Linked DNA regions of Struthio camelus. The protein of the gene in region 1 purifies or fractionates together with the protein of each later gene. This does not show direct contact. Links are inferred from orthologs where the notes say so. Each region holds a gene or a part of one and is shown on either strand. Other genes may lie near its edges.

Evidence for each region.
Region 2: the proteins of CMTR1 (region 1) and DHX15 purify together in Homo sapiens (co-immunoprecipitation; 3 studies listed by BioGRID and IntAct, with this or other methods). This does not show direct contact. The link is inferred for Struthio camelus from reciprocal best matches to the Homo sapiens genes CMTR1 and DHX15.

The regions. Positions count from the first base shown.
Region 1 is NC_090944.1:104,623,257-104,639,537, reverse strand, and holds the start of CMTR1 (cap-specific mRNA (nucleoside-2'-O-)-methyltransferase 1), read right to left. Parts: upstream 7,826-16,281; 5' UTR 7,700-7,825; intron 7,688-7,699; exon of another isoform or gene 7,310-7,687; intron 7,301-7,309; exon of another isoform or gene 7,184-7,300; intron 5,566-7,183; 5' UTR 5,561-5,565; coding exon 5,431-5,560; intron 1,030-5,430; coding exon 887-1,029; intron 1-886. Other genes in the region: E3 ubiquitin-protein ligase RNF8, read right to left, coding at 13,886-14,031, 15,952-16,156. UniProt on the Homo sapiens protein: S-adenosyl-L-methionine-dependent methyltransferase that mediates mRNA cap1 2'-O-ribose methylation to the 5'-cap structure of mRNAs.
Region 2 is NC_090945.1:67,267,882-67,283,801, reverse strand, and holds the start of DHX15 (ATP-dependent RNA helicase DHX15), read right to left. Parts: upstream 6,252-15,920; 5' UTR 5,979-6,251; coding exon 5,911-5,978; intron 1-5,910.

The DNA.
Region 1 (16,281 bases):
ACTTTGTAAGCGATTCGGAGAGCAAAACACCACGCTGACCACCACTAATAGCCACAGTACAGTTAATTTGCCCAGTCTTACATGTGATGTAAGACAATCTGTGTATACGCTAGTCAAAATTCACATGATACCTAGGGTCCTCTACCACGTGCACCAATATGTCCCAGTTAATCCTGCGTCACTTTGGAAAAAAATCTGTCTTCACACTTTTTCTTTCAATATATTTGATTCAGTCGCACTGATTCTCAAAAGCAAAGACGGGGGAAGGAAGACTCTGGTGCTACAGGAGGTTAATTATTAAATATCAATCTTTGGAAGGCAATTCTGAAACTACAGCAAAGCCAAGCACACGGTTACTTCACTGGAAGCTTCTACAATCCCCTTCAAGAAAACATCCCCACTTGGAAAAAGCATTACAAGCTTCACAAGTCAGAACTTCATTAACAATCTTACAGCAGGGCAAAACACAAGAATTACAATTCAAGTTAACAGTTACATTTAAATCAATCTCAAATATTCACTGAAATAGGAATATTCTGAAATTCTAGCAGCCTGGAGCTAGCAAAAGTAAGTTTCTGTGCAGAAGTTATGTGCAGTGAAAGGCTGACTTGGACTTGAATGGAAAATACCATTATATGCGCAGAGGTCTCCCTTGCAAGAAGGGAAGGTTACACTCTCTACAGTTTCAGGCTTGTAATTAACAAGGTATAAAATCATCACTGATTGGCCTTGCTGCAGCCAGAACTGCTAATGAGAGAGACGTTACGGGCATGCAAAATTCAATGGTAAACATAGGGAAAATCTCTTAAAATAGACTGGTCTTTTCACTTTGCCCTCACGCACTCATCAGGTTTTAATAGTCTCATACAAAACTATTTTGACCTACCATGAGCTTTTGGGAGACACTGTTATACATAGAGTAGCGGGATGAAGTACCCTCCACGAGAGAGTCTTGCTTGAACTCATTGCTGAAGACTGGTCTTTTTTCATCGCTCTCACTATCAGACCCACTGCTGCTACTGGAAGACTCTGAAAACAAAAGAGAGGGAGAAGTGAACATGAAAATGAGAAGAAAATGGAAGCAAAGCATCTCAGTAACCACATCAAGAAGTTTGAAGTGTGACTTACCAATCCTCTCAACGAGCACAGAGGCAGACAGGATGCTTCAGTATCTCAGATGTGTTACAGGAAGTATGCAGGTGCAATATAAATATTATCTGGAGCCAGTACTTGGTAACCTACTGTATTCTACTGAATGGTTAACATTCCGTTGTCTCAAGGATGCATACAATTTCTCTCAGCCAGTAACACGCATTTTAGACACCTGGATTTCAAACACTCCAAAAGGCCTGGCAAACGCTATCAGAGCGGCAGAAAAGGCCACAGCATGACCATCATGGCACATTAGAGTGCATCTGACCTTTCAAATGATCTCGGGCAGCTGAGAAAGCCCATGAAGATTCTCTCCTGAGCATAACAATAATTATTCAGTCATACTGGATTCTCCTCATTTTCCTATCCAGCTACAGGAGTGAACGCATTCCCTGACCTAAGCACAAATTCACATCACAAAACACAGACATGCACCAAATGACTAATACTGCAGAAAGAACAGAAGATTTAAGCCCTTTTAGTTCCCATAATAAACTTCACTTTGACTCAATTACCCACTTCAGTAGTGTGATCCCCAAGTTCACTACAGAAAATGAGACAGTTTTTCACCTCCAGAGAAGTTTACTGAGGCATACAAATCCAAGTGAAAGGTAAGGTTAGAAGACATCAATTTTGCACAGGCATTACTCACCCTATAAGTCTTTCAGGCAAAGGTTTAACCTACAAATAACGTAGAAGGATAGAGACAACTCATCATTAACGTTGTGGATCTACGAGTACATTCAGTGTTTCTGAAACTCAACTGGCTATCCCCAACATGCCTTTTGGCAAGCTACCCATTTTTGCAAGCTCTTAACTGAAAACAGTTTAATATAGTAACATGGATCTGCTATGGACCACTAATGATCGGAGGGCCACAGTTTAGAAACACTAAATAAATAACCACTTCTTCGCTCCACTTTGCTACGTTCTAGAGCAAAACCATGCTATTAAGATTTCCCAAAAGTTACTCTGAAAGGGCTAACCTTAAAGCTTCTGGTTTCCTTCTATCACAACAGCAGGTCAGTATATGTCTGATTCTTTACCCTGCACATATGCTGCATAGGACTGCAGCTTCAAGCAGCACAGGTACCTTAGCTGGTTAGATTCTACTGATACACCCAGGTGTGGCATCATCTTCAGCAAAATGAAGGAAGCAGGGTAAGGCACAAATTCCAGCAAAAACAGAGTAGTAAATCTCTCAAAGAGAATCCTCTACCAGAGTAGCAAGACCGTTACAGAATTGGAGTAGGATGGAGTCACGACCACCAGCCCTTCCTCACAGAGGGGATGGAGAGTCTCTGTCCCTTCCTCAGGAAAAGTAACCATGCTTGATGCATGTTGAGCAGTCTGAGGAAACACATGGGATTCTCGCCTGGTGCAAGAGATAACTGGAAAGATGCATTCAAGGTTTTCCAGAAATAAGAATAAAAAAAATAAACCTTTTCAATAAAATCCATAACACACTAAAACTAATGCCGTTCCCTTATTGAAAGTAGTTTGGTATGCACCTTCCCCCAACGCCCTAATCAAAACTATCCAGGCCACGACTGCATTAAGGATATTTGCACCAGATTATCACAAACGCTCATGGCCCCAGTGCAGAGCAAGCTGAACACTTAGGCTCAACTAGCTCTAGTGACACATATAGAAGGTTGCTAAAACCATGTAAAGCCTAATCCCAGCAGGTGCTCCATGTGGTTATACTAGACAAACTAACGTAGACCTCTCTTACAAGCGATTTACCTTGGCCCCACAAAATCCATCCTTAAGGTAAGATGAAGCAAAAAACAACAACAACAAAAACAACAGCACACACCACACGCACAAATCCACACAAACAAAAAAACCAACAACAAAACCCACCAACCTTCAAACTGCAGTTTATCCAAAACCAGGAAGCTCCAGGCTAGAAAGGCAGCGCTCTGGCTGACTGAGAAAGGGGCGGCAGGAACCAGCTGCTGCTAACAGCCCACTGAGTCCTTCCCCCTTTTTTGCTGAAAAGCCACTATAAGAATGACGGAATAGCATGAATTTCCTCCCTGAAACATGTCTAGCATCACAGCAGTCGCACTAAGTTAGTGCTGCCGGGTAGTCCATAAAGACTACTGGAACAGCAGTTCACTGCAGGCTTAGCCATGCTCTTTAATGGACCTTCATCTCTTGAGCCTTCCTTGTTCGATGAGTGTTAGAAAACATTCTGTGCTACTTCATACAACTAGGAGAGATTGAACTATACAAGTTTCCTTAAGACACTGCAGAAAATTGCGGTTAGCAGAGCACATCTTTATTCTGTTTATCGCTTAAAAAGGAAAAGCTGCACAGAAGTATGAAGAGAGAGACAAAATTACCAGCAAAGAAGGCTTCAGCTTTTCTTAAGTTTTTCTGATTTCAGAGAAAACACAGCGTCTTTCTCTCCCAACTGACAGATCGCTATTTTTCACATTACAAATAACTGAATTTCATCAAGTAACAGGAAACAACTGTAGAAAGGCCATCACAAGAGCCAAAAAAGTGAAAGAGACAGCAGTGAAATACCTAATCATAGTTAAAATCTCTTCAATGCCTGATCAATCTTGTAACTGCACTATCAGTTCAGAGAATGGAGCCTTTAAGATTCAAGTCTTGCAACCCTTCAACTAACATGCAAAAATTTACAATATCAACCTTACAGCTGAAGATACGGAAGGCTATGACATAGCTGGTGTTACCAATATTTTAGGCCCATCTCACTTTTCAAAAAATTCGTCAAGGAAGCTACATTTCTGCTTCCTTCAGAGTTCTTAGAGATGAAGAGGATCACAAAGGATTTTGCTTTAGAGCCAGTTACGGCTCTCTGCTTCCCCAACCCACACCTTCAATCAGCTCTGTTACTGGATTTTGAGTTGTTTTTTATTTTCCAGAGGCTTATTACGTGCCTCAAACACAACATCTACTACATAAATCTCAAGGAAGTTCCCTCACAATTCTTGTTGTTTTTAACATTTCCTAGGCAAACAATGAGATCAAATCTCAAACTATTTCTTTTTGCCAACCTTGCTTTCATCTGAAACCTCAATGGGTGTAATACAATACCAAACAATTTAGACTATCCAAAACGTTTTCGTTGAGCAGTATCAACTTGTTTCATAAACATTAAGATTCATAGCCTATTTTGACCCATAACTGAACTAAATAACCATAAAAGGGGAAAAAAGAGGAAAACAAATATTGGTTTGAAATTTTTAGCCCAGCCCTGAGCGCACACAGCATTCCCTACCAACTCTCACACCCCACAAATCTAACTTCCCCATTTACCTCCGGTTTTGCCAAACGCATACACATACATGACAGATCATTGATACATACATGACCGCTCATTGTGCCTATTCCCAGTCAAGTCGACCCATACATCTTCCACCCCCATCCGCCTTCCACTGTCCCAAAATCCTGTGCCCAGAACCCATCTCACTATCACTTTATTACCATGGGAAATCTCAAAGACTCAAAAGTAACAGGTGTGAGCATATGGCAGCGTGAAGCGCCATCCCGGGAGTGTTTAAAGCACCTTGCAACAGGAATAGCAATTGCGTATTCCAAGCCCAAGGTGAGAAAGCACACCCAACTTGGGAAAAGGTAGAAAACTAATACAGTTAATTCTAAACCATTTTTAATATGTGAAATCAAGCACCTGTGAGCTCTCACAACTCTTACAGAAAAGTCACATTGAATGGGCGAGAGAGATGGTGTTACAACCTAGGAACCCCAATCAACCCACCCTTTGTACGCACCTCAATTCATCCCATCTGCAAAAAATGGAATAATGTTACTTAATTGTTCTCACAAAGGGAGATTGCGATGTTTCATTACCGCACACCACATACCGCACGCCACAAACAACTACGCACTAGTGAAAGCTTCCAAAACAAAAAATCCACTGAGACTGAAAAGACCAACGCTGCTAATTTATAACTGGAATCTTTACAGATATTGGACCATGTATTCGGTCATCTACCTCCAATTTTTATTTTCTATATCTGAATTCATATAATTCCCAGATTAAAGTGTCTGCACGAGACTTCAGAAGGGGGAAAAAAAAAAAAAAAAGAGTCCAATAAACGTTTAAAAAGCTTAAAAAAAAACACGTAAGTTCAAGTTTGTGAACATAAATAATGCTGTTTTTACCCTAAAGAGAAAATATGCCCTTTGAAGCCCAATTGGGATTGAGGAGATGTAGGTTCAGCTCCTAGCTGTTAGTCAGATTCCCTGCAGTGATACACACGCTATCTCCAACCTTACCTTGAGTCATATGATTACTAAATTGAGTTTCATCATCTGAAGTAGAACTGAGGGTTAATCCCAAGTCTTCTATCCTCTTCTTCTGCTTCTTTTGCGGGCTGCTAAATTCTGGCTCTGCCCTTCTCTTCATTTTTACTGAAAGAAAAAAATAAAAATAAATCACACTTAGAAAACATTAAGCAAGTTAACTTTCCTCCTGCTCGCTGAAGGGTAAGGTGAAGGTCTCATACCAGCAGCACTGTGGCATAGATTATTTTATGGACCATTCAGTGATACACTTCTCAACTTAAGTTTCCTTTAGGTAAACGCACTGGATTTTTTTGATACCACCTATTTAATAGTCGGTTTAACTAACCAAACAGGAAAACTATACAGAAGTTTCCCTACTGCCAATGACTTGAATTCAGAATCACTTCTACAACCTAGTCACCATTAAATGCTAGCAGCTGAAGAGAACCAAGGTTTCAGCACTTACGTAACTTAAAAATACAACAGTCAATTATTACTACTGAATCAAAGATTCACTCTACCCAAACACAAAAAACCAGGAAGTAAGATCAATCTAATGGGGAACACACAAGGTGGAATCCATTTCTCACAAGAGGATCACAACACCTCTGACCTCGCCCATGCAAATATTAATTACAAAATGAGCTTTTCCACATTAATTCTACAACAAAACTTTATTAAATACAAACACTCAAGGTTCTTGAGGTTTTTTTGGTTGATTTTTTCTATTTGTTTGCTTTTACCATCAGACATCACTGGCATGATATCAAGTTTCTGGATGTGCCAGATAAATTTCACATAAATTCAGAGAAAGAAGTAACACTCAAGGCTAAGCTAATAGGACCTAGGTGGGAAGGCTCACAGAGATGTGCCAAGAAATAGGAAAACAGGTGAAAATAAACCGGCACAGATGATTGCAGCACTAGCTAAACTTTCTTGCTATTGGTGACAAATGATTAAAAAACAATTAACATTTATTATTCTACATATGAACGCCGGACTAGAAAAAGTGCCCCAAGTTTCTGACTCTAACCCTGTGTCATCAAACTTATTTCCACAAACTTACAGAGCTCCATCTTAAAATCAGTTCCTGTATTCATCCCCATGACTCTGACTGGAAGACCACCCCAGAACTTCATTGCACTGTGCCTAAGAAATCTTTTCACCTCCACCAGAAGTTCACTCACAGCCAAATCATGCTTATCTGTTCTCGTGCAAATATAGACCCCTGGCTTAATAACTAAGGAAGGAAGAAAGCTAAGTATCTTCCATGTGCTGAGAGAGCAATTCTATTTCTTCTCAGATGTTGTCTTGTTTGATTAACAAACTCTTAGCTCATTCCTTCTAGTTCCCTCTCAAGATCTCCACCCTCCTAATCATACTAACGGTCCATCAGCACCCCTGTTTTCCTCTTGGATTTAAAAGCGTGCACAATTAAACTGAAAGCTAAACTACAGGAGACGTACGAGGTGACATTACCCCACTTAATTTGAGTCAATGCCCCAAGACTTGCACCTGTTCTTAAGAACAGCATAAGCTAGAAAAAGTAGAGCTGAATTCAGCCATCAGCCACATGCACACCTATGCCCTCTAACCCATAAAGAGGGATGCTTTAATTCAAACCAGAGGTACATCTCACCCATCGCTCTCTGTCTACAGGGTGGAATGGGGCTAGCCAACGAAAATGAGCCCTCAAACTCATCAAGCTCCTCTTGAAAGGAAGCACCTCCTTATTACTACTCACTTTTGCCAGCTCTTGAAAGTTTCAAATAACACCATTAATTCACCACGCTAGCCAACGTGGGGCACCCTTTCAGGCACGGAAATCATTAGCTCAAAAACCTCGTCGGTGCCTAACCGTGTCGCTCACCGAGGCTGTCAGGGTGTGCAGGCAGCAGCGCTGCGGCACCTGTTCCGCAGTCAGTCCCCTCGCGGTTTTACATAACGCGCTCTGGGTCGCTCCCGGCCTTTCCAGGGGCTGCTGCCACTTACGTAACGCAGCTTCCCGCAGACCACCGCGAGCGGCCGCAAGCGGACTCCGCCGGAGGAGCCCCGGCAGGACAAGCCTGCGCGACGCCGCCGCTACCTAGCGGCGGGGGCTCTTCGCTAACTGCCGGCAGCCGCTAGCGCTTCCCGGAGCCCGGCACCCCGCCGCCCTCGGGAGGCTGCGGCAGCCGCAGGCCGCGCCCGGCGGAGCCCCCGCCGAGAAGCGCGCCGAGGCCGGCGGAGGCCTGAGCCGGGCGGCCGCGGCGGCACTCACGGAAGAGAGAGGGCAGCGGGCCGGCCGCACCGCCCCCCGCCGGCCCCTCGGCAGCAGCGGCGGCGGCGGCGGGAACCCAGCCCGGCGCCGCCCGCACTTTCGTTTCCCCGCTCTGAGGCGCCGCCGCCGCCGCCCCCGGCCCGCCCCCTCCCGCGGGGCCTCTCAGCCCGCCGGCGCGCGCCAGTGACGCAAGCGCCGGCCGCGCCGCCGCGGCCGCCGAGGGGCCCGTCCCGCAGGCGCGCCACGGACAGCCCGCAACCCGGAAGTAGCCCCGGCTCTCGCCCCCGCAAAGGCCCCCGGTCGCTAAGCAACGCCCACTGCCCGGCCGAGCGGCGGCGAGCGGCGCCGCGGTCCTCCCTACCCCTCCCCCCTGGGGGAATGAAAATGTAATTGTTTTAATATAGACTTATATTTGTTAATAAACTTAATATTTATCTAATTTTCTTAATCTTCAGTTTATCTCATATTTATAAATTTATACAAATTCAGAAAACATGTATACATTTCTAATCTATATAAATTGTGTACATCTAAAACGTCGGCTGAAGCGCTAGACGCCTGCATAAGCACCCCTGCTTTGCGTGCTTCTGAAGGAGCCCTCGCTGGCAGCCTGCCCCGGCCGCAGGTACCACCCGTTGGGTGCTGTGCAAAACAGCTGCGCTCCTGCCCCTTGCGCTGAGGTGCGCGCCGGAAACGTCATCGCTGCTACGAGCGGCGCGAGGTTTCTCGCAAGCAGCCTATGCCTCGGCGTTTACCTGATCTGCAAGGTTAAATAATAATACGTGCAAGAGAAAAGCCTTTGCCAGACACCTCTTGCACTCAACAGCATCTACAGCAGGAGGTTTAAACAAAGAACCATCTCACCCAGGATGGTCCCATACCCGAATGCATTCAAGTCCTTTCCCAGTTATTCTTGCTTCATGTCAAGAAGCAATACATTGCTTTGAACACGTTTTATCATCACACTGCACGACAACTATCTCCCGAAAGACAGAACAGCACGTCTTGAACCTGCATCAAGCCTGCTGTGGATCAGCTGTGATTAGCTCAGAGTTGTAACCTCATCTTGGATGGGAGATGAGTAGTGCTCGATGCCATCCCAAGACAGGAACAATTCAGGGCATGACATCTGCAAGTGGGCATTCAGAAGAAGGAAAACTACAGCGCAGCTAACCCAGGCCTCAGGACCATTAGGCATGTACACAAGGAGTCCTTCATAAGAGGTTCATTACATTTCATTGTACGTTCCTTTTATAAAGCAAAAGCTAGATATCTGGATTCCCTTAACCAAGTAACAATAAGAAAGGTTCTTAGATTGTTTGGGGGGGGGGCAGGAAACCAGACACAGCTGTCTTATTCATACACCATTTATACTGACTGAAGTTTGATTCTCTTCCAAATTCATTTGCAAGTTAAAATTCTTTAGTTTTTTGTAAAGGAAGAAAAGAATTTGTGCTAGGTTTACATGCTGTACTAGAAGTTTATACTTAAACCATTATTATACAAGGAAGTAGTATTGCGTCTTGCAATAGCAATTCCCATCTAAGGGCTTTGCCGGTCTTTAATAGGAATTTAGGACTCACCTCAAACAAGTTCCATATATATCTATCTTCCTCATGGAACTCAGAGAAGCAGGATCAATCTTAAAGTTGCAGCAGTAGCACCACCAAAAAAAGAACTGAATCACTCCTCTGTAACCTCCGTCCTTCTCTGGAGGATATGTCCACCTTGAAACTATGTGTAGAATCTGTAGCAGTTGCAAATGCACACAGCTGTCACCAGTGAAGGTCCAACACACCTGACAGTATCACTTACTCAGAAGGAAGAAGCCAACCAAGTGACTTCAGTTCGGGCAGTGAATTCAAGAACAGCCTTTTTACCAGGCATTCCTTCCTGGAGGGGGGAAGAAAATGGCCTGTATCAACAAATCCAAGAAAAAGGGGCCTTAAGGAAGTCACCTACTATTTCCCTCTTCCCCAAAACTATGTCAACTATATCCAAACCCAGCATTTCTCAGTTCATGGATCCAAAGATAGTTTCCAGTGGCGTAAAGACAGCACCTTTAGAAATTATACAGTACACTGCAGGGCACAGATTGAACTTCTTTGAAAGCAAAAGAGAAGTACTTCACACGCCACGGGTTTTTTTTTTTTTTTTTTTTTTTTTTTACAGGGTGGGAGGAAAACTCTTGATACTATGGGTGTTTGCCTGATCTGATCATACAGGCTTTTGGGGGGGGGGGGGGGGGAAGGGAAAAAAAAACAACAAAAAAAACCCCAAAAACAACACTTTCAGGAAATCTCCTTACTGTGACTTTAAATTCCATCACTTCTTGTCCTAGTCCCTTCCTCTTTGAAACAGCTTTTGATTTATTTGGAGACTCACGACTTCTTCAGTTTTCCCCTTTTTTTGGAAAGACGACTGGAATTGCTTAAATCCTTCTCACATGGGGTGATGTTTCTTGAACCTCAGATCTGTTGTTGTTTTGCCAGTTGGTCTACATCTATTTCGAGACATAGTCCTTAAGATCAGGCACAGTACTACTGCTGCTCAGTCTTACCAATGCTGAGCAGACAAGAAGAAACACCCAACAGTACACAACTTATCCTCATTTATGTATACAGATACCTACTTTTTTACAGCAGCAGCATATTGTCAATGTAACACTCTTTCTCATCCCTTTCTGCGTAACTGCTATCTGGCAAATTTGTTCACAGTCTGTATTTGACTGCTCCTACACAAGCATAGAAACTTATGTGTTTGTTCACAGTGAACCACATGGGGGGAGGGAAGAGAAAGACACATCTCCGCTTTAAATCCTTTTACCACCACTGATTTGTGGTTGGTTTTGAACAGACCTTAGTCTCACTTAGATTACCCTTACACAGCTTCCTTATGAGACACAGTATCAAAAAGTATACAAAAAGCTAAGGTACTTACAGTTTCTCCTAACTTCTCCATCAAAGTAATATTATTTTAGCACGTTTTGTTCTTGACAAAGAGAGTAGTGGAGTATTCTTATCATTCATCATCTTGTCTATGTGCTTATAAAAAAGTTTTTTTAATAATGCGTGGATATGGAGGGTAGGAGAAAGAACTCAAGTTCAGCTCACAGGTCTACAATTCATCTCTGCCTTTCCCTTCTTTTCAAAGGTACAGCATCTATTTTCAGTATTCTAGTACCTTATCTGTCCTCCGATTCTCAGAGAATTGTAAAAATTCTGAGATCACTCAAAGTATTCTATGATTGATTTCACCTTGCCTCATTATTTGAAAACATCTAATCTAAGTACTCTCTAATCCATTCTTTCAAAACTCTAGCCAGTGGCCTACTGTTTTTCTCCCTGGTCACCAGCATTGTATAAGCCATTTGATTAAAATCAATCTTGATTTAGATAAAGATTTAGATAAAAACAGCACTGGCTTTCTTAGCTCATTTGCTGGTTACTGATATGCCATTCAATGGAAAATAAATTCTTTTTCTGACCTTCCTCTGACTAGAGACGTGCTGACTGAATGGTTGCTTGTTACCTTTAGCCTTACTTCATTTCACATACATACATACACACATAAGCACACACCCTGAGTATGAAGGAATTGAATAACCTAGACTCATTCCCACTTTCCCCATGTTCCCTGTGTTTAACTTGGAAGTCAATTAAAAGCTTGCAATTCAACTCATTTTCAGTCCTTGGTTACATTGCGTTATTTGTTTTCCAGATCTTCCTTTGCTTTTGGTCTGCCCCAAGAGGGAAAATCTGATTTAGGGCCAAACAGCTAGCACAATTGTTTTAGACCCTACAAGGTTCTAGTCATTAACTGTAAACAGAAGAAAGGACCCAGACCTTAGACCTCAGGAGACCACAGCAGGAGCGGTATGGATGTCCAGAAGGGCAACAGCTGCAACTTCACCTGACATTTCTGTATGTCTAGTGAGCAGCTCTGTGTCCAGTAACAGTCTTCCTGAGGAAGACCGCTTTTGTCAGTGAAATGCTATGACAAGTAAGCAGCGTTCCTACTTAGCCTCTCTCCTTGGAGCTTTGCACCCTATGCACCCTCTGATAACAGCGGAAAAGTTTTAGTATGCTGCTTATGTTCTTTATATTCGAGTGAAAAGGGGACGACACACTTAGTAGGCACACACTGAAGGACTACTCTAACTAGGAGAAGCATTATTCCTTTCTACAGTACATATAAACACTGACATAACAAAATAAATATATTTAGCAAAATGAAAGAAGCAAAAAAAGCACAGCAACATGGAAGAGAGATACAGTAGAAGAATTTGCAGTTGTAGGTAACCAGAGTATTTTCCTTCTACTCCACTTCAACAGGAAGGCCTTACACCAATGCCAGGATATTTCACAAACATTTTGTGGAACCTTCTTCTCACAGATATTCTAGAGAGCATATATTCACTAACAGAAACTTCCAAGACCCCATATAGAACACAGATATTAAAAGGAGAAAAGGAAGTCTCAAGGTGTAATAGCTGCTCCACAAGAGAAACCTTATACTAAGATTTTAACAAAGTTGCCTGGCCCACAGATCAGATATTTCTTCATCGTTTAAGTCATACCAATCAAACAAGCAAATGAACGCTATCAGAACGCGCTACTTGCTTAGGACAGCATCATCCTTCATTTACCTCACTGCCTTTTTAAGGAGATCCTTCTTTAGAAGGAGGAGATAAAGAGGTGTGATTTTATCTACTAAATTACCGTTAGAGTGGCCACTGCTAGCACAGGGCTGAAGACCTGGGATGTCTTTTATCAATTCCTGAACACGTAAGTCTTTCAAAATTAAAAACAGTCAAACACTAAAACTGCTTAGAGCAATCAAAACATTACACAAACAGAGCCATTAAAATGAGACAATCTGGGTTCTCTTGAAAATTCTAAGATAACTAGGAGAAAGATGTTTGTCTCAGCGGTTGCACCAAGGAAGACTAATGCAGAAATGGGTTTATATTTTCTTCCTTAAACAGGAGAAACATAAAAACAAGAAAGTACATACAAATGGCCAAAGAAATTACAGATCAGAAGGGTTTTCCCCCATCCCTTTCTCGCAGTGGCAAAATGGTCCTTTCCACTAACACCTAAGTCAGAAGTAGAGGCCACTGAAAATGGAACTTCGCACGCAGTCCTTGACAGGATGAGGCAAGTCTTGCTCAGCCTCTTAGGCATGACCAATTTGCTGTGAGGGTAGTATACACCACAGCTCAACAGCAATATTTTGTAAACAATAAAACAAAACGCTCCCCTCTGTGCCATGTGGTTGCCTACAAACGCTGCTTTCCCACCCTATCAACAGGACATTTCATTAATTCAAAAAGCAGCGCTTCTGAAGAGACTGAGGTTCCTCTCTGCGGCTGGCAAGAACTAAACGTGTAACTAAAGTCATTGCTAATAATTTCTGGATGTGCTGCTTCCCATTTCTAAAACACTTTATGCAAAAGTCTGAAGAGGGAACAAACTAAAGATGTTAGATGAAAATAGCAATAGCTAGGAACTTCTAGATGATGCAATCTTCTCCATCCCTACCCAACAGAAAGCGAGAAACGTTCTCATTTTCACTTCTCAGCAGCTCAGCTTACAATGCATTCAAGGCATTGAAGCCTGACAGGGTCCATAACTACCCCTTAAAAGGACTATTACCTCTACTGCCAGGGAAGCCTGGATAGCTCCAGCTGCCATACAAAATTCAAGAGGAAAACCCACAATGGCACTTTTTTCTGGTATACCTCTGCTGTCTGCTGGTGGAGATGACTAAGTTCTCAAATAACCTGGGCCGTTCCATCTGCTGGCTGAAATACGGGAAAAATGATGCACGCATTTAAACAGTTCATTCACCCAGGAAAGGGCAGTGATACATACAAACTAATACATTATACCAGCTGAGTAGGTCACAAATGATCACGGAAGCCTACGTTTTGCACGTCAGCCACCTAGCATGACGCAAGTTTTTTCTCCTGCAATCCCAATTTTGCTTTGGAGATCAAGCTTCTGTACGTTCATTTAAAAAAAATAAGATCCTTCTTGCAAGTGCTTGCTAGTTCTAAGCTCCAGCCTCCTTACAGAATCTCTACTTCCAGTTGTCCAGTCCAGTCATCCAGCAGTAGTAAACCAAACACCATTACGTTCATTCTGGGCAGCATGCAGGCAAATCAGTCTGCAGTAGCAATGTTTAGATAATGTAGTAGCTATCATCACGGTAAGAATCCTCCTCAGAGTTCTCATTGTCACAACTCCTCGTCGACAAGACGGAGTAGATGGAGGAAATGACAGTGTTGTCATTGTCCGTGGCTAGGTTCACCAACACATTCCGTTTCTCTGCATTCAAAACACATGGATAGAAAAATTAGCAGACAGCCATTCTACTCGCACACACCGCTAAATTACTAGTTCTCTTTGAGACTTAAAGTTTCCTATTGTCAGTTTGCAATAGGTCTTTCAAGCTGCATCCCATGTTCTTTTTTTTTTTCCCCTCAATTTTCAGCTTTAAAAACTTCCCAAGTTGTTCTTTTAATTTCCCATATGTCTTTTCCTGTTAAGATAGCACAGGTGACAAGGAGACATCCAGCATCCCTTCACTGGTGCACAAATAGCAAGGAAGTGGCTGGCTAATACAGGGTCTTGCCAGGTAAGAAAGGGGGAAGGAACAAAATGTGATAAAGGGCCCTCAAACTTAAGTAGCCTTTTTTCAGGACACCCTTAAGGACCCATCAAGACCTCCACATAAAGAGTACAAATTGTCCCAGGGTGTCTGTTATACTAAAGCTCATTATCTGGCTGTGCTTCCAAAGTACTACCTGCACCATCGTTTCCTTTTCAGCCCATCTTACAGCTGGTTTCTTCTTAGGAGTGTATGTCTAACTAGACATATGGCTACCTTCACCTTATTCAAGATGTGTCCATCACTGAATAAGACAACCACATGGAAACAATTCATCCTTCCCCCTGAAGCGTATCATGGTGAAACTATATGAATTCTTACTAATAATCATTATATATAATTAGAGTGTCTATCACAAACAAGCAGGAAGATCACTGGTTTACCATATGGAAATGAAGTGGGTTCCAATGAAGGCACCACTTCATCCAACCACCATTAGCTACCAGATGAGACACTTCAACAGTGCTATGGCATACTCTGCAGAGGTGCATATTATGCAAGAGCAGTGTCAGTTCTGCAGAGGTGAAAGCAATCCATGAAGCAGGGCTGGACAGACTCTGAGAAGTGTAGCATTTCCTGAGGGAATCAGACTGAGTTGGTTAAATAGGTGATGAATTCAGGTTAGAACTGACACTGTTTAACGATGTCATTCTACGTCACCATGGAGGATCTGCAATATTTCGAAAGCACCTTTCATTAGGAAGGTCTTCAAAGGGCTTGACTTTGCAAATAAAAGATCATGCACTCACCTCTACATGGGGAAAACAACACAGTTACTTAAGGGAATACAGTAACAGAAATTTGTTAAGAGGCGGGTAGTAGGAAAAAGACTTCTACATTTCAGCACCTAGATACCAGCGTTGAGTGCTCTAGAAAACAATTTGCAAGATGGAAGAAGAACAGGAATACCCCATATTGGAATTTTGCTTAGAGCCCTTACAGTCATAAAGAGCCTTTTAGCTACAACTAGGCAAGAGGTTGTGTGTTCGAGTCACAGTGGTAAATTCAACAACAGCTCATAAGGGAGATCAATGACCAGTTCCGCCACACGCTTACATGACAGACCAACGTTCCCTTCACAGATCTCCTAGGTATACCTAAGACATACAAGAGAATTCTGAGTTTCTCACCAGGCATTGCTCTGCTAGTTTTCAAACTGATGTAGTCAATAGTTTAATCAATCAGAAGGCATCTGGTAAATTTTTCAAGGCCCGCTCTGTATGGTTTTACTTTTCTTTAGAGATCTCTTCAAAACAGCGTAACCTTCAGTATAGTTAAGTCATCCCACTGGACTGCTGAATTGACACTGAAGTCTTTTTCTAGACTTTTTATTCATTTTAATTTACTGTATAGTTAAGCTAGTTGTACAGTACACCTTAAAATTATTTCCCAATCTTAATTTCTGATGAATCTACCAATAAGGGATATTAAGCCTCATACACAAATACAAGGTCATTTTCCAATACTGCTTCTGCTTTTCTTGAGCATCTTTGTAGTATATAGGTGCCAAAGAAACTTCTACAAAATATATGGAAAGAGAGAGTGTACTCGTCATGCCACATCCACCCACCTCTCACCTTTCCGCTCTCTGATAAGGGCAAGGCGACGGTCTTTCATTTCCGCATCCAGTTTTTCTACCATCCTGTCAATGCAGTTGTCCAGCACCAGAGAGCGTGTCTTCGATTTAATCTCTTGCCTGCAGATAGGGCACTCCACTTTACGTTTCGTCCACTCATTAATACAGTAGGAGCAGAAGCTGTGCGCACAGTTCAGAGTGACTGCCTGTGAAATTCAAGGGAGGGGTACTTATCAGAGCACACTCACATTAGCACTGTAATGGGGAAAAAAAATGAAGTCAGAAAGGTGTCATGAATACTTCCTATGAGTGAAAGGTGTGGGGCAGCAGG
Region 2 (15,920 bases), on another chromosome or scaffold:
CAACTGCAGGAACTGTAACTCAAGATGATCTACGAGCCCCAAGAGAGAAGTTTGATTCTTACATCCCACAATGAGTTTGTAGTTTTATGTGCTCAAAGTCACCCGTTACACAGTGACTCAATTAATTTTGATTTGCAGGTTGCAGAGTCTGAAACTCAGACTTAAAGCCAGTCACTTCAGTTGTACTGCCTTCTTTGATATCACCTCCTACCACACACTTAGAAGCAACCAGCATTTATGTATTTTTTTTGTTGCCAAGTCTTAAACAGTAGCAGTCACATAGTTACAATTACATGATTTGTAAAACTCTGTTACCTAAACAGCTGTCAGCAAGTTGCACAAAAAAAAAAAACAATGTAAGAAGCTATATAAATACCTCACCTCCTCACCATAGCAGAGAGACACAAACTTAAAAAAACACACATACACAAAAAGTAATTACACTCCAGCAAATCTGAAACTGGAAGTATTTGGCTCATTTTTATCTAAATTAAGAATAAACTGCAAAGCCAAAACGAACCTAGTAAACAAACACGTCAAGGGGAAATAATTCACATTAAACCTCAAGTAATCTTGAAGTTGCCTATTATTGCTACCAGGAACATGAAGTATACTTTCTTCCAAAGCTGAAGTCCAAAAAAGTTCATTGCACTTGCAAGAGAGAAACAGTGTTATTTTCACTATAGTTATCCAGTCCAAATTCAATCTCTAGCCTCAATCTTAGTTGCACTTTGCTTTTGCAATTCCACATACTTGGTTTTGCATGTAATTACACTTTCCCTACTAAACACAGAAACACTCGCAAGAAGTCTCCAGTTTTACCCAAAGAACTGTTGCTACATGCTTTTAATAAAATTCAAAACTTCCCAATACTTCAGCAGTTATATCCCACTAAATAAAAAAACCTCACTAATTTTACACACGTATAAATCAAAAGATTAGTAGTAAGAAACGTCCACTTCTTCACCAGCTCTCAGACACACCTAAAAGCAAGAGTGAAAGCTGCTGAACACCACACTTCTCCACAAGGCTTTTTAAGTGTGAACTTGCAAAGCATGCAATCAGTGAGCTAATATGCGAACACCTACCTATAGGAAAGGTGATGCAGCCAAGAACAATTTATATTATTATTGATTTTATAAATTCTAATTCAAAATGTGCTAGACATCAAGGAGGACTAACATTCTTGTTCTTGTAAAAATGAACGTAATGTAGGCAGACTGTATGGATGTTCTTTCCCAGTATAACCCCATGACTTAACTGAGCTATTCCAGACTGACAGGCACGCAAGCAAGACCAAAAACCAAGCTCAGTTTGACATACTATGGCTTCAGGGGCTGTCATAATTAATAGCTATTATTTTGTTTCATATTTCTAAAAACACTTCTTTTAACATAGACCCAGCTGAGAAGAAAGGAGGGTAACAAAATGCACTGCTGATTGTCACTGTCCTAGTTCACTTTTCATAGACTTTCCTAAGTCTTTGGGACACTGAACTACCTAAAAAAATTAAAAATAATAATTTTAAAAAGGCTCGTTTGCATCTTTTGCTTGAGTCAAACTCCATAGCCTCAGCATAGTTCTAACACTGTCAAATACTGTAAAAGCTAGAAATCTCTGTTTACATTAAAATGGCAGCCAAGTATTGCAGAACCTGGTAGGGTCTTATACTCTGCTAGAGGTAAGTTACCCCTGTTACAAACTGAAGAAACTAATTGCCATAATACTACAGTTCAGGGTGGAAGAGTCTAACGATAACAGACAAACGGATCAAGTTTTAGATTTTTTAAGTTAATCAGCTATTAATAATCAGCATTTTTAAATATCAGAAGATATTGACATAAAAAAGTGTGACAAGACAGTAACAGCATAATAAGAAAAGGAAATAAAGGTTATAAAAAGCAATTTAAGTACAGTAAAACCAGGACAAAATACAATAACAGTACTGATAACAGTACATACTTCACTGACAGAAAGGTAGAAAGAGAACAAGACATAACAATGGTTTTTACACCATGACTAGACACCAATGAAGTTAGCAACAAAATTCCTTCAGAAGCAGACTATTCACTAACTAGGTAAACAATTCTATGTCAGAAACTTCTACAGAGCAGATGAGTTTATCTTCACATATGTTTCAAAATGCATAAGCCAGCACCAGTAACAAAACAAAAAGACCCATCCTCTGTTGCCAACTTTATCCTTGTGTTCACAGCAGCACTTCAGTGGCCCTGTAGAAAACAAGCCCTTCCTAGTCCATCTCCACTAAAACTAATTCTAATATAGATCAGTTCTCTAATCTAATCTCCCACAAGCTTACAGCATGAAAAGAGAGGGGGCAGCCCTGTCGTCTTTTGTGATGGCAGTGACTTGTGTGGGTTTAAAGTATAGATATTATCTCAAGAACACTGAGCTGCAGTAAATAAACTACAAATATGATCCAGAATTGAAAGTCTTGTTAATCCTCCATTTCTGTTACTTCATTTAACTTACAGCTGCCCAATCCCGCATTTAAGAAAACAAACTTATCAAGTTTTATTTACATCTCAGAAGGCAAAAACTCTAATTAGAGGTTAACCAAGGGAGTTGTTTTTTCTTTATTGTTTCAAAAAGGTTTAAGAAAGATAGAAATGTGGCAACTACATGTCAGCACAGAAAAACATGACATACAACATGCCCTCAAATTTACTCTCTAACATTCATTGGTCATTTATTGGTTTGTTCTACAGCAGCACTTTTTATCCTAAAAGGGCTTCCCAATCTCCTCTTGGTATTACTAAAACTTGGCAGACACATCCAGACTTCTGGGATCAACCATGGAAAAGGGGAATGATGTTCTGTTCCAAAAAGATGCTGCCTGCTTCCTCATCACTGACAAGTTCGAAGTAAGTGAAAGAGTGCTTCCAGATGAGCATTTTAATGACTAAAGTACAAAACTGAATTCTAGCTCATATCTTTTGAGGAGTGATCACTCAGACTTTGGTGAGATATATACTGGACATGTTAAGGTGTCATATGAACTTACTGAACCTCCTGTAAAATGCAACTTGATAATTCTTCATTTAAGAACGGTCACGTTTAACTTACTCTTCATCATCTTAGAGAAGCCTGATTTTGATTTAATCTAATTCATCTTGCTCACAAACTCCAATTCCATAACCAATTTTTTTTGTAAGCAGTCTCACCTATCAGCTTTCACATATTTAATACATACATATACATACAGATACAAAAGAAACATAACAGTCACTAAGTCATAAGATGAAAAGCACTTAAACCAAAAAGAGAAACACAGGACATAAGGTGAAACCACAAATCACTGTTAAATAGCCTAAACATTTCTAATAGAACATTACTATTATTCTTTCATTACTAAAAAGACACTTGCAAAAGTCTGCAGTTCATCCAAAAAAAAAAAAAAAACAGAGTTAAAAGAGAAATTCTGTTCTGTATGTATGAAAACAGAAGGTATAGTAAGTCAGAGTGATACATCCCACTCACACAAGCACTCTGATATTATGCAGCTACTGAAGTAGCTTAGAAAAAAATTAGCAGATTTAGACACTAACATACTTTACATAGCAACATTGTAACCAGAGACTTCCCATACAATTCACATATTTCAAGAAGTTTTTTTTGTTCAACAGTGATACATAAAGGCTGAAAGAAAATAGATATTGCGCCCATACTCAAGAAGTTTACATGGGCGACTACAAGCCTATTGGCCTGACAGCACTCCCATGCAAAAGTGCACATATTAGTACGTGACCTCAATTAAAAAGGAGGTAAAAAAATACAGGGTATCTTGATACAATATTTAGATTACAGTTAGATAGTCAGTAAGGTACAATCACTATTTCTGTATTAGCTCCCTGAATACATGCCACTTCAAATTTAGCTTAATCCAGTTCTAAAATCAACTACATTGCATAAAGGTGCTCTCTGCACAGAAGATATGTAAATACATGCTATTAACAAGAAACTCTCTGCATATCCCTTAGCCCTCTATAACCTGTAAAACTTAACAACCCTATGGATAAATCAGGACAATGTAAGATTAGTATGGCATGTGTTAGATGAATTAAGATCTCAAGTAATAATCATACTCAATAATTCTGCTTATAGCAACTGGTTCTTGGTCTCATGCCATTTAATGCTTTTGTTGGCAAAAGGAGCACAAAACCAGAGCTTATATAGGGTTTTTTTTTTTTTTAAAGGTGTAATAAAGATCAAACACTTGTGGTAAAAAAGTTATACCACTGCTGGGAACCAATTATAGCATATACCAAATGGGAAGACTATGGCTTCAGAGTGATAGTGATACTCAATAAAAATAGTACCAAAAATAAAACAAAAAACAAAAAACCAAAACCCACAACCCTACAACATACAAACTAGGAAACACTAATAACGATCATCTACACAACAATATCAATTGTACTAGGTTCAAATTATGCCAAGTTTTGGCGTCACCATTTCAAGATGTTACAAAAATCTGTATATACAAAAAAACTGTATATGTATGACTCTCTGCATGCACAAAGAGCTATACTAGCTTTTGAAAAATCAGGGGAACACACCTTGAGGTAAGCTGCTCAATCCATTTCATTAAAAAAAAAATAGATTATGGTGATCCTACATACATAAACAGATGTTCAATAAAAACAATCACTTCACTTTAGCTGATGAAAATATATCAAACTCTAGTAGCTAAAAATTCAAGCTACTCAAGTTCACACTTAAAGAAAATGCAAGTTCTATTTCAACAGCAAAGACAGTTTATCAATGAACACTAACTGCTGTGGCTGATTTTTAACAATCACCAGTTTTGTAAACAATGTAAGGCATTTATTTTTCTAGGATAAATGTCATAGCCCAAAACAATGATGCTGGACTTTAGGAAAGAATTAATTCAGGAAAGTCTTCTGGGCACCACCAAAAGAACAGACAGATAAAACAGAATACTTTTTTCTGGCCCTTTACATTCCAGAAGTCTGTTTTAAGAGTCCCCCACAGAAGTGGGGCAAAAGGAGATTCAGTGGAGGCACTGAAACCACTGTGTACGAAAGGACAGCACGAGCCCACTGTTCGAGTTCCTGCAGTTTAGGGGAGGGAGTTATAACTTCCTTTCCCTCCTCCCCAAAAAACCCACCCCACACCGACTTTTAGTTTAAATCTGCCATTCACCTGTTGGTTACTGAGTTAAAGCTGTTAACAAAGGAATAATGTTTCTGCCAGCTTAGGTACTAGTTACACAGGCTGAACAAGCCTCACGCTGACCTCTAGGACCAGACTGGCCAGACCCCTCAAGCCACAGACGGGAGGATACAAACAAACAGGGGCAGAGGGAGGGAAAGAGGGTGAGACATACGAAAAAAAAAAAAACAGAGAAACAGAGAAAGGAGGAGAGATGAAAGAGGCGCACACAAAGCCGGGCGCTGGGGAGCGGGCCGAGCAGCGCGCCGCCCCCGGCTCCGCCGCGACGCGAGCCCAACCCAGCTCGCCCAAGCGGCTAGGCCTGCGGCTTCCTCTCTTTCCCCCTCCCAGCACCGCCGCACGAGGCCCTCCCCGCCCGCTCCCTGCCATCACCCTGCCGCCATCCGCCCCCCCGTCCCGCCGAGGGGCCCGGTCCCGCCAGAAAGGCCGACCCTGGGCCTAGGGCCAGAGCTCAGAGGGAGCCGCCGAGGCTCCCGGGCCTGCCCAGACGAGGCGGCGGCGCGGGGGGTCCGCCATGCGGCCTCCGCTGCCTCAACCCCTCCTTCCACCTCCCACCGCGGCCGCCCCGCGACCCGAGGCGGCCCAGCCCCGCGGGGAACGGCCAGAGCCGAGGACGGGCAGACGATTACGCGGGAGCCGCCGTAATCTCCCACCCGCCGCAGGCCGCGCGGCCCGGGCCTCGCCGTCCCTCACCCGTCGGCGGCGCGTTTCTTGCTGGAGGTGTAGTCGTCTCCCAGGTCTAGGCGGTGGCGCTTGGACATGGCGGCGGCGGCCGGCCGGAGGAACGGGCGGGCGGGCGGCCGCGCGATGCGGCGGGAGGGCGGCCGGGGCTGGGTGCGGCGGGGCGCTCTCCGCTCCTCGAGCAGCAGCAGCGGCGGCGCCGCGAGGCCAGGCACACCAACTAAAATGGCGGCCGGAAGGAAGCGCCGGGGCTGCGCGAGACACTGGCGCGAGCCGCCGCGCGCCCGCGGAAAGGGAGAGGGCGGGGCGGGCGCGGGCGCGCGCGCGGCGGGTCCGCCTGCAACGGCCGCCCCGGCCCCACCCCCGCCCCCGGCCGCGGCGCTCTAACGGCTGCCGCGGGGCAACGGCCGCGGCTCGGCGCTGCGAGCGGCGTCCGGCCTCCCCGCTGCCGGTGAAACGGCGGAGAGCGTTGCCTGGGCGGCCCAGGCGCCTTCCCTAGCTCATCAGAGCGGCTCCAGCGCCCTGTTAGGGTCCGGCAGCCCGGGTGCTGCTGCTGATGCCCTGAGAGCAAAACTCGTTTCCCAGCCGGTCGTGCCCCTGTGGGCGCGCGTGCCCTGGGACAGGCGTTTCCCGGGAGGGTGTTTAAACCAGATAACTGTATTGGCAAACACCTATTTTAGGCTGCCACAGACTTCCCTAGCATTGGGTGGGGAAGAGTATGATCCTTCACATGCCATCTGCAGTAGCAGAAATGATTAGAAAACCGGTGGCATCTAAACTGCAAGCTATAAAAGCACATACTATTTACTACTTCACATCTTTAACTACTCAGACATCAAAGGTAGGTATTACTAGAAGTATGTTTTGGGAGAAAAGTCCAAGTGCCATTCAGAGACCCAGAAACAGAGTTGCTAGTTTCTGCCACTTTCTCTTGTGCTTTGTCTTTGGTGTCTGTGCAAGAAGATACAGTACAAGGAAATCCCATGTTTGCAATACAAACCCCAGAGGACCTGTCTGCTGTGACAAAGTTTTCTAAGGGTGAGCACAGCTACACTGGCATTTAGTAGAACAAATCCTAAAACCAAAATAACACACGAGTGAAAATGCTATTTTCTCGGTATAGTTACAGATTTTTGCACGTAGCTGTAATGATTACTTTTCACTGGCAGAAGTGCCAGCAGAAGCCTGTAGCTCAGGCCTGCTCCAAGAGACTTGTTTCTTGTGCCCCTGAACTGTGTTCCTCACCTGCTAGCCTGCACACACACTTTTTAAGAACTGGGTTAACCATCCACACATACAGAATTTGTACTCTAACTGCAGGCACAGATGAGCCTGGGCAGGAGAAGGTGGAGTCAGGCAAACATTGAGAGGCCTGTAACAACCAAGGCATCAGAAAGCAGGCTGCCCCCATGCTGGTAGAAGCACACTCAGTGCTTGACTGACCCACCTCTGCTCCCACACACCCACTTCCTTCAAGCCATTCCTGCTCTATCTCAGCGCTAGGTCTCAGCAGCTTTCAAGTGCAGTCCCTTGATACTTTACCATAGCTCATAAAAGCCCATCTCTAACTTCTTAACTCTAGCTTCGTTAAGAGGTACAATTCTTGATATATCCAGTCACTATCTAGAGATAACATCACTTGCTGGACACCATCTCCACTCGTCCTGCCCTATCTCACGCTCCCCCAGCACCTTCCTAGAGATTTAACTTCATATTTTAGATCAGTAGTAGTTTTAAGATGCAGTTTGAAAGCACTGCTATTGGTATAGCTTTCCACCTAGACAAGTGTTGAAAGACATGTGCTTTGCAAGTCTTGCTCCCCGTTGCCCTTCACAACCTTCTTGCCAGAGATTACTACAACCATTACTGAACTACTTGCATGAGCACTCCCCAGTCATTTTGGTCAAAAGCAGTCAGAATAGTTCAGATATTTTAAATACTAAATCTTTGTTAACGCTATCTGACTATGAGGGCAAGGGAGCATTCACATAACAGCTCTGCTAGCAAACCTGGCAGTGGTCAGAAAGGAGCATCCAGCAGCAGTGACCTAGTAGTACAGCTAGCTCAGCAAGGGAATGTTTATCCATAGCTTCATGTCCCGAAGATTTTCTGGAGTTCTATCAGAATAACTACTAAAATAGTTAGTTCTTGCCGTATATTCTTTAGTAGAAGAGCATTCCTGTTCCTAATTTTGGATAATATGACAAAATGGTATCCTGATCTCTGCTAGAGTTCTAGAGACCACTATAATGAAAATACCATTTTCCTGCTTAGCATTATCAACTGAAATAAATATTTCTTGGACCTTGATCTCGAGTTTTGCGTGCAAAGCCAGGAGTCATTTTCCAAGTTACATTACAAAAAAATGAAAGAGGAACCTATTTTAGAGGCTGCCAGAGGATAAGTATTACAGTAGTCTCTATCCCAAATATCAAGATTATCTGAGGTGCTCTGGTAGAATACAGAGCTGTGTTCACAGAATGCAGCTAGGGAAGGCTTTCTACACATCTCACAAAGTGGCTTTTAAATGATGGCTGTCTTAAACAAACGATTACTGAGATAGAGTGTCCGAGGAGAAGACAATTAGCTTATCAGAGAAGGGAGCCAAAAAACAATGCAGTGGCTGTGTCTCCCTGGAAAATGGAAAAAGAGAGGAAGAGGAAAGCATTATATGTATTAGATGGGATGAGCAGCTACCACTGTGCAGCGCTATGTGGTTCTCGGAAGACAGCAACTCTTCCACATCTTGATTATGCACAGCATCTCCCTATGAACAGCAGCATAAAGCCACTCAAGGTGTTGCTGCAAGTTACCACGCTGCCAACACCAGGGCAAGATTCTGCTTTAGAAGGCGGTACAAGAGGAAGTCTCAGCAGATATGACAGCCTGAAAATGATCTTGTGGCCGAATCTCCCCAGCAAGTGCAAAAAGAAGGGAGAAAGATCCAGTGTGTCAGCTGGGGTCAGCAAATACTAGACTGCTATGCCCAGGCTGATATCCCACGTACTAATTATCTATGTATTAACGTATTTCCAAGCTACCTGAACAGAACCTCCACTCAACTGTGCTTTGAGCTGTATGACTGCATAATAAATAATCTGGTCTTATCCCAAAGAGTTTGCAATCTAAGGCCTTCATCCTGCAAGCACACACATGCCTTATTTTACTAATGCAAATAATCCTTTTGACTTCAAAGAGATTACTAAGAGTAGCAAAATTAAGCATGTAGGTAAGTGTTTACAGGATCACAGTCTAAATATAAGATGAGACAGTAGGAAAAAAAATGATCAGGAAACACATAATGACAAAGTGATAAGCATTAAATTCCTAAAGGATGAAAGGAATGTGTAAAATAGGGCACATTTAAGCACATTTTCTGCCTTTTCAAAGGCATTTGTTAAATGCAAGTTTGTTTTTTTTTCCCTGAGAAGTCTTTCATATTCATCTATAAGAATGAAAATCTTAGATTACTGAAACAAGAGATGCTTATATTAGTTGCCATTTGACCATTTATTCTTTAACTCTCCATCTATTACCCTAGCTAAACAATGCATGCTCCTTGGTATCAAAATCTTCTTAGGCAATTTCCAGTGAGAAGAGTGCTTTGAGCGTGGGCATACTTACTGTGCTATTTGGGTTGGAAGGAGCATTAACGTCTAAAACTGATACAGTGACTTAGGAAAATAATGTTATCTCTAAAATATTATATTATTCTGATTGTGCATTGCGTTCACCCCGGAAGACTAATCGTGAGTCTTAGACAAGCTTTATATCAGAGACCTACTTTGGAACCAGTGCGGTTTCTGACAGAGAAGTGTGGCAGATTTAGGTGTCACAATTTCAGATATTACTGCCGCTAGCTAATTGTTTCACTCATTTGCTAGAGATTGCCAAGTCTACAAAGGGCAGGAAAATATGATATATCCAGTCTAGCATTTCAGTAGAAATATACCTTCCTCAGTGGTTTAAGCCAAAACAGGCAACTGAAGTGAATCCACACATCTTATTCTTTCGCTGCTGCAATGCTGGCAGTAGTAACGAGCAGGATCGCAGGGCAGACAGCTAAGGGAGGTTCAGTCTGCTAAAGCTTGAGTGTTAGACCCCTACAACCTCTGCAGTATATATTTCTTGTATGGCTGGCTGGAGGTAGGCTCAAAGCTACAGGCTGTACGCTCCCTATGCTATAGCAGCACTTACTCTGCCAGTACTTTTATTTATGGTTTGCTTTTTAAAAACAACTAAAAGCCTAACCCATCTTTTAAAAAATCTATAACACATAATATTAAAGAAGTTCCTGCAAACTAATTTTAAAATATTAAACCTGGAAGTAGTCCTGATAATTGTCACTGCAATCTGCTTTAAAAAATAAATATATACATGGGTAACGCCCCTAGTAAAATACCCAGGAGCCTTAAATACAAACACCCATTACAGACAAGCTCTTCTTCTGCCCTCCCCCCACCCAAGCCTAATGTGAGTAAATGGAGCTTATCCTTAGGTTCTGTCATATCAGCAGAAGAATACTTCAGACAAGAGCCCATAATCAGAGTATGTTTAAAGACCTCAGACTTCCAAATTTTTCAAATTTAAAAATATGAAAATGAATACATCAAATGATCTCAGTTTCTGCAGTGAAGAAAAGAGGTAGCTTCTATGTAATTACAGAAACTAAACTTTGCAACACTTCAAATATATATAAATCAACTTTGAATTACTCTGAGAAGTACACTTTAGGAAGCTAGCAGCACTGCCATGACAGCTGACTTTATCAGCAGTAAGATACTGTCTGAAATTTGTGAACGGTCATCAAACATCATCCCATATAGAACACATCACATCAATTCAGTTTGGAGGTCAAAAAGGTCAGGATGATTTTAGTAGTGTTTCACAAAGAAGGAAAAAAAAGAGAGAGAGTTTGCAATCACTGTGCAAGCACAGATGGGAAAAATCACTTCCGGCTATCAAAGCTACCTTAAACACCAGAAGCAAATGACTCAGGTAAGCTACCATACCTCATTCACCAAGGAGGAATATGCATCTCTTCATAAAGGGATAGATGCCAGGTCACCAGCCCAATGGCATCCCCTCTATCTTAGTTGGGTAGCATTACAAAGAGAAAAAATGTAACCAAGTACCTGAAGTCTTCTGAGAAAATTAAGACTGTGCACTGGATGGGTGCAACAGAAAGAGACACCACCAAGTAAAGACATAAGAAAGTAAAATGCTGAATTTTAACCCGCCCTTCCCTGCAGCCTGAACTATAAAGTGCACATTCTCTAATGTTATTTAAGAAGTGTTTTTAAAAGTAGCTGTATCTCTTAGAACTTCAACCGGAGGGACAATTCACTTTTGAAAAAAAAAACCCATTCTCTAAAAGGAAAGATATTGTTGCCTACAACTGCCTGCTATCCTACCGCTCTCAGTCATTTGCTAAGACCTTAGGTCACCTTTAGTCCACTCAAAGAAACCTTGCAAGAGTAGATGTTTGTTAAGTACTTTGAATTTTAAGCACTCTGAATTTAAGCTGAAGTGATGGCATAAACGCAAAATATCATCACTGAGTAAACTAGATTATATATCTAATTTACATTGATTCTACATTGAATTTACATGTTTTGGTAGGAGCACTTCTTTTGTGAAAGTTTGATTCTTTCTTGCTTTTTCTTTGCAAGTATTTCATGTCCACAAAGGGAAAAAATGCATTATCTTGGTATATACTTTTCATTCCTTTTGTATTCAGTACAATCATCTTTTATTCACTATTGAGTTAGCTCCTTAAGACTTTTTAAAAGTCCTCTCTTTTAATACAGTCTATAAAACACTCATATCCATGCGTAAGGTTAGGCATGCTGGATCTACCAGTGGTACAGCTTCACGCTGAGTATATGTGTAAGTGTAAGACACTTGTTATTGGCTTAGTTTCTATTGCCTGTATAGAATATACAAAGTTCCAAAAAGTAAAAATCACAAAAGCTCCTGAGGTGCGAAATAGGTGACGTAATAACCTCTACTTGATGGGTTATTAATGTACAAAGTGTTAACAGCTAGTCCTTATCTTCATAATAAGCCCCAGACTATATAACAAAATAGTAGCAGTAGAGAACCATACAGAATAAAAATCCATCATATCCTAGAAACACGATGTAGCAAACTATAAACAGCAACTTCCATAGCTTGCCCAGCTGGGCCAAGTTTTTCAACAATTTAGCTTCCTTATTCTTCTCCCAGACAATCAGGGTTTTTTCTAACCAACTGTGTTAAAAGTCCCCTTGCAGAACAGTCCTCACAGCCAATGAAAGCACTGAAATTGGATTTAAATTTATCCAGCTGTGTCAAAATGGATTGTAACCTCCTCTTTTTGATGGCTTATTACCATAAAGCCCAGGCCTTGTGAGGTCATTTTTTAGTGTGTCATCACTGCATCACAGCTGGGAATAATAATTTTAGTATAATCTGAAAACTGTAGAAGAACCCTTAAAGGAGTTAAGAGCAGACATTTGGCCAAGTTTGTTGTTGTTGTTGTTGCTATTAGATTACATAGCATACCCTGTAATCATATCCTTCTCTGTAATTGGTGAGCGGGTTCCCAAAAGGAAAGCACAGGGTGCTGCTAAAGCTGCTCCTTCTTGCAAAAACAAAGGAACTGATAGAATACTCCAGCCAGTGACTCCCTTTGAAGAGATGCTGAGCAACCTGTCTCTCAACTGAAAACAAGAGGAACTCTACACTCTACACTCATAGCATTTTTTTAAATCCTATCAGCTACATCTGGATTAATTGAAAGAACTGTCTACTCTCTCATATTCCATGAAGTTCTTCTTTGTACTCAGTATAGCGGTGACCTTGTTGGCTGTGCAACTTCTGCCTTTGGCAAAGGTGAGCCTCTTCTTTGTCTTATAACTGGATCTGCTCTCGATGCATAGTGTAGTTGATTTATACATGTACAGGTTGGATTTATCATGCAAGTGCTTGCTTTCTGCCCAAATCTGAATAATACTGGGAAGCAAGATAGTTGATAGCACACTGATAGTTGAGAAGTACACTGTTGACACAATGGATCTTGGACCTGGACTGCAATTCAAATAACTTGTTCAGAAGGCAGCAGCCCACTTTCAGGCCTCAAGTTTCCTTGGACCCTGCCTTGTACCACGAGAGTGAACGTTTCCTTGCTGTAGGAGATGCCTCCAGAGAAGAATATGGCTGGGAGTCATCTTTTTTAGGTCGTATACAGCCTACAGGGCCTAAACAAAGCAACACTGCTTTAAAGTCTTTCTGTTTTCTATGAATGTGTAAGAGAACTACTACAATAAGAAGAGAGGCAGAATTAAGCTTGCCACAGGTCCTTTGTAAATAAGTGCTTCCTTCTGCAATTTTAACAACTTTTTTTTTGAAGTAGCTTCTGTCTATACAATGGTGCACGCAATATATAATACAGCGCCCAGTCTTATGTTATTTTTGATATGCAGCAAGTAGTTTCATGGAAGTAAATGATGCTGTGGTGAGACATTGTGCTGCAGCACTGTCTAAACAGCCCCTGACCTTCCCAATCCTGACTGCTCATCCTCATCTCTGCAGTACCCTGTCCCTTGTTATGGCATGGTTGTTTGGGTAGACATGCAGTGCATCAGGCTGTGAAATTGATATGCCTAAAAAATAGCCTAGCAACAACAAAGTAAAAGCAGTTTCTTAGCTTGTTTGGTTTCCTAACAAGGATAACAGATGGAGCAGCAGAGGGGCACGGACAAGCAATCGGAGACAGGACACTGTGTCAGCTGCCAGTTCCCCTGAAAAAAATCCACGTCACTTAACAGCCTGACACTGCTCACAGTGAATAAAGTTCAGCACTTCAATATGTCTTTGGAGGATCAGGACCAAAGAATTATATATTTTCTCATAAAAGCTAATTTTTTCTATATATGTTTTTCTGTACTAGTTGATTGATCCTACTTTTAGGTGACCTTCTAGCTGAATTTGGATACACGTACATGAATAATAATAGCTATTCTTAGAAATTTACTTATTCAGCAATTGGTGCAGAAATATGCAGATATTTGACATTAGGTTTATTTTTCCCTAAATTCTAGCGGAAATGAATTAATACCTTGGAGCAATTTTGTAGCAAAGAGTCCTAGAGAATTTCCTTCACTGTAAAAAAAAAAAAAAAAAAAAAAAATGCTGCTAAGCATTATATGTGGGAGAGGAATAGGGTAAGAACTGAGTCTTCAGTACAAAACACTCTCTGAAAAATATTGGCTGCAACAAAACATGTTAATCTATGGGTAGATTAAAGTAGGAAAATCTGGCTGAAACACCATGGATTTTGTGGAAGATATTGTGTCAAATGAGACTCTTATGTGCTCATTTTTTTAGTAGTAGATTTATTTGGACTCTTTAAGAAAATGGAAAATCTAGAACAAGATATGGGCAGCTCCGCTGTTGCTCGTTTATTGATAGGCACGCATACAACAGGCAGTTCTAATATCCCTCCTACACATGCTATAACCCTAAAGTTCTCCCACAGGTGTAGTTTTTATAAACTCTCCTGATCTACTTTTGTCAAATAAGCCACATTAAAAAAGAGCTGATATTTAGACTATTTCGAGCTAACCTCTCTCATTTGGACAGAAATGAGTTAGGGAGCACTCATAAACTGCTTTGTTGGGAGGATTAGGATAGTCCAGCAGAGGGACTTTGCTAGGAAACTAAAGGTAATAATGTATTAAAATTCCCAGGATGGATCTAGGAATGTTTTTCTGCTTTGTGCTTTAAAAATACCATTGAACAATAACCAGTGCCTATTTTTCAGATATCCTGTGCTAGCTTTATTTGTAACCACAGCACCTCCCATCTTTATTCTAACTGAGACTAATTGCTACCACTGGCTAATGCCGTGGTGATTAATACTACTGAATTAAAATGTTCTCAGTAGTTGATACTGAGAAATAGCTAACAGATATGTTCATAATCTACTTTATCATATCTTAACAACAAATCACTTTTCTATACCAGCTCCATGATAGTTAAGATTGAGACCAGTGTTAGTGCTTTCAAATAGATCTCCTGACTTAATTTTTCTGAAATGTGTTCTATTTCATAGGGTCAGTATAGAAAAGGCTAATTTATTCCAGCATGAAGTTTTAAAGACATATTCTGTCCTAGCAATCATGCATTCACAAAATCATCCAGTTCTGCTCGTGCCCATGGCCTGGATGCTCCCTGGAGGATTACTGCTTCTTGAGATTTATCTCAGCGCCAACATTGTGCTCCCTTTGTGGGGAAGGAAAAAGAGTAAGGTGTATAAAGTATGAGAATGTCTCTACATCACTATTTTTTTTTCCCCTTGACAGAAGAGCACAAGAGGATGAGAAGGAGAAACAGAAAGACGAAAGATGAAGAAATATCCAGCCTTCTGAACAGAGCCTCTTCTCAGACTTTCAGAGGGGGTACCGTTCTGAAGTGAGGATGGAAGAGTCACAGGAAGTAAGACTGAAAGACAAATCACTGAAAGAAAAGGAAGTTTTCTTTTGTGAAAAGGAAGTTCTTTTGACTTAAGAAAAACCCAGAACATTCAGGATGCAGGCCTACATCTCTTCACCACAACACTGGTATGAAATTTCAGACCTCAGACTACATTATCCTCTCTTTTACCCATTATTCCTCCTTTATCCTAATGTTCTAAAATATATACAGCTGACAGCTATGTAGCCATGTCAAAGTTTTGCTGTTGGGTGCATCTGGGTCCTCAGCAGTCTTCACCCATCTTGCATACATGTAAGGCTATATATGTACTCCCACACACATTTACTTCCGATTTGCAAGTTTGCAAATAATTTGCAAGTTATTCACATTGAGAAATCAACTCTATACCACAAAGGAGAAACAGAGAGAGAATATTTCATCGGAGGAAAAAGAGCAATACAGAAGGAAAGGAAGAAATAGAACAAATTAAGAGAGGGCTGCACATGCAACTTTGGTCAGGGAACAGTCAAGTGGCCATATGTTGTAGGTACAAAGTCACAGAT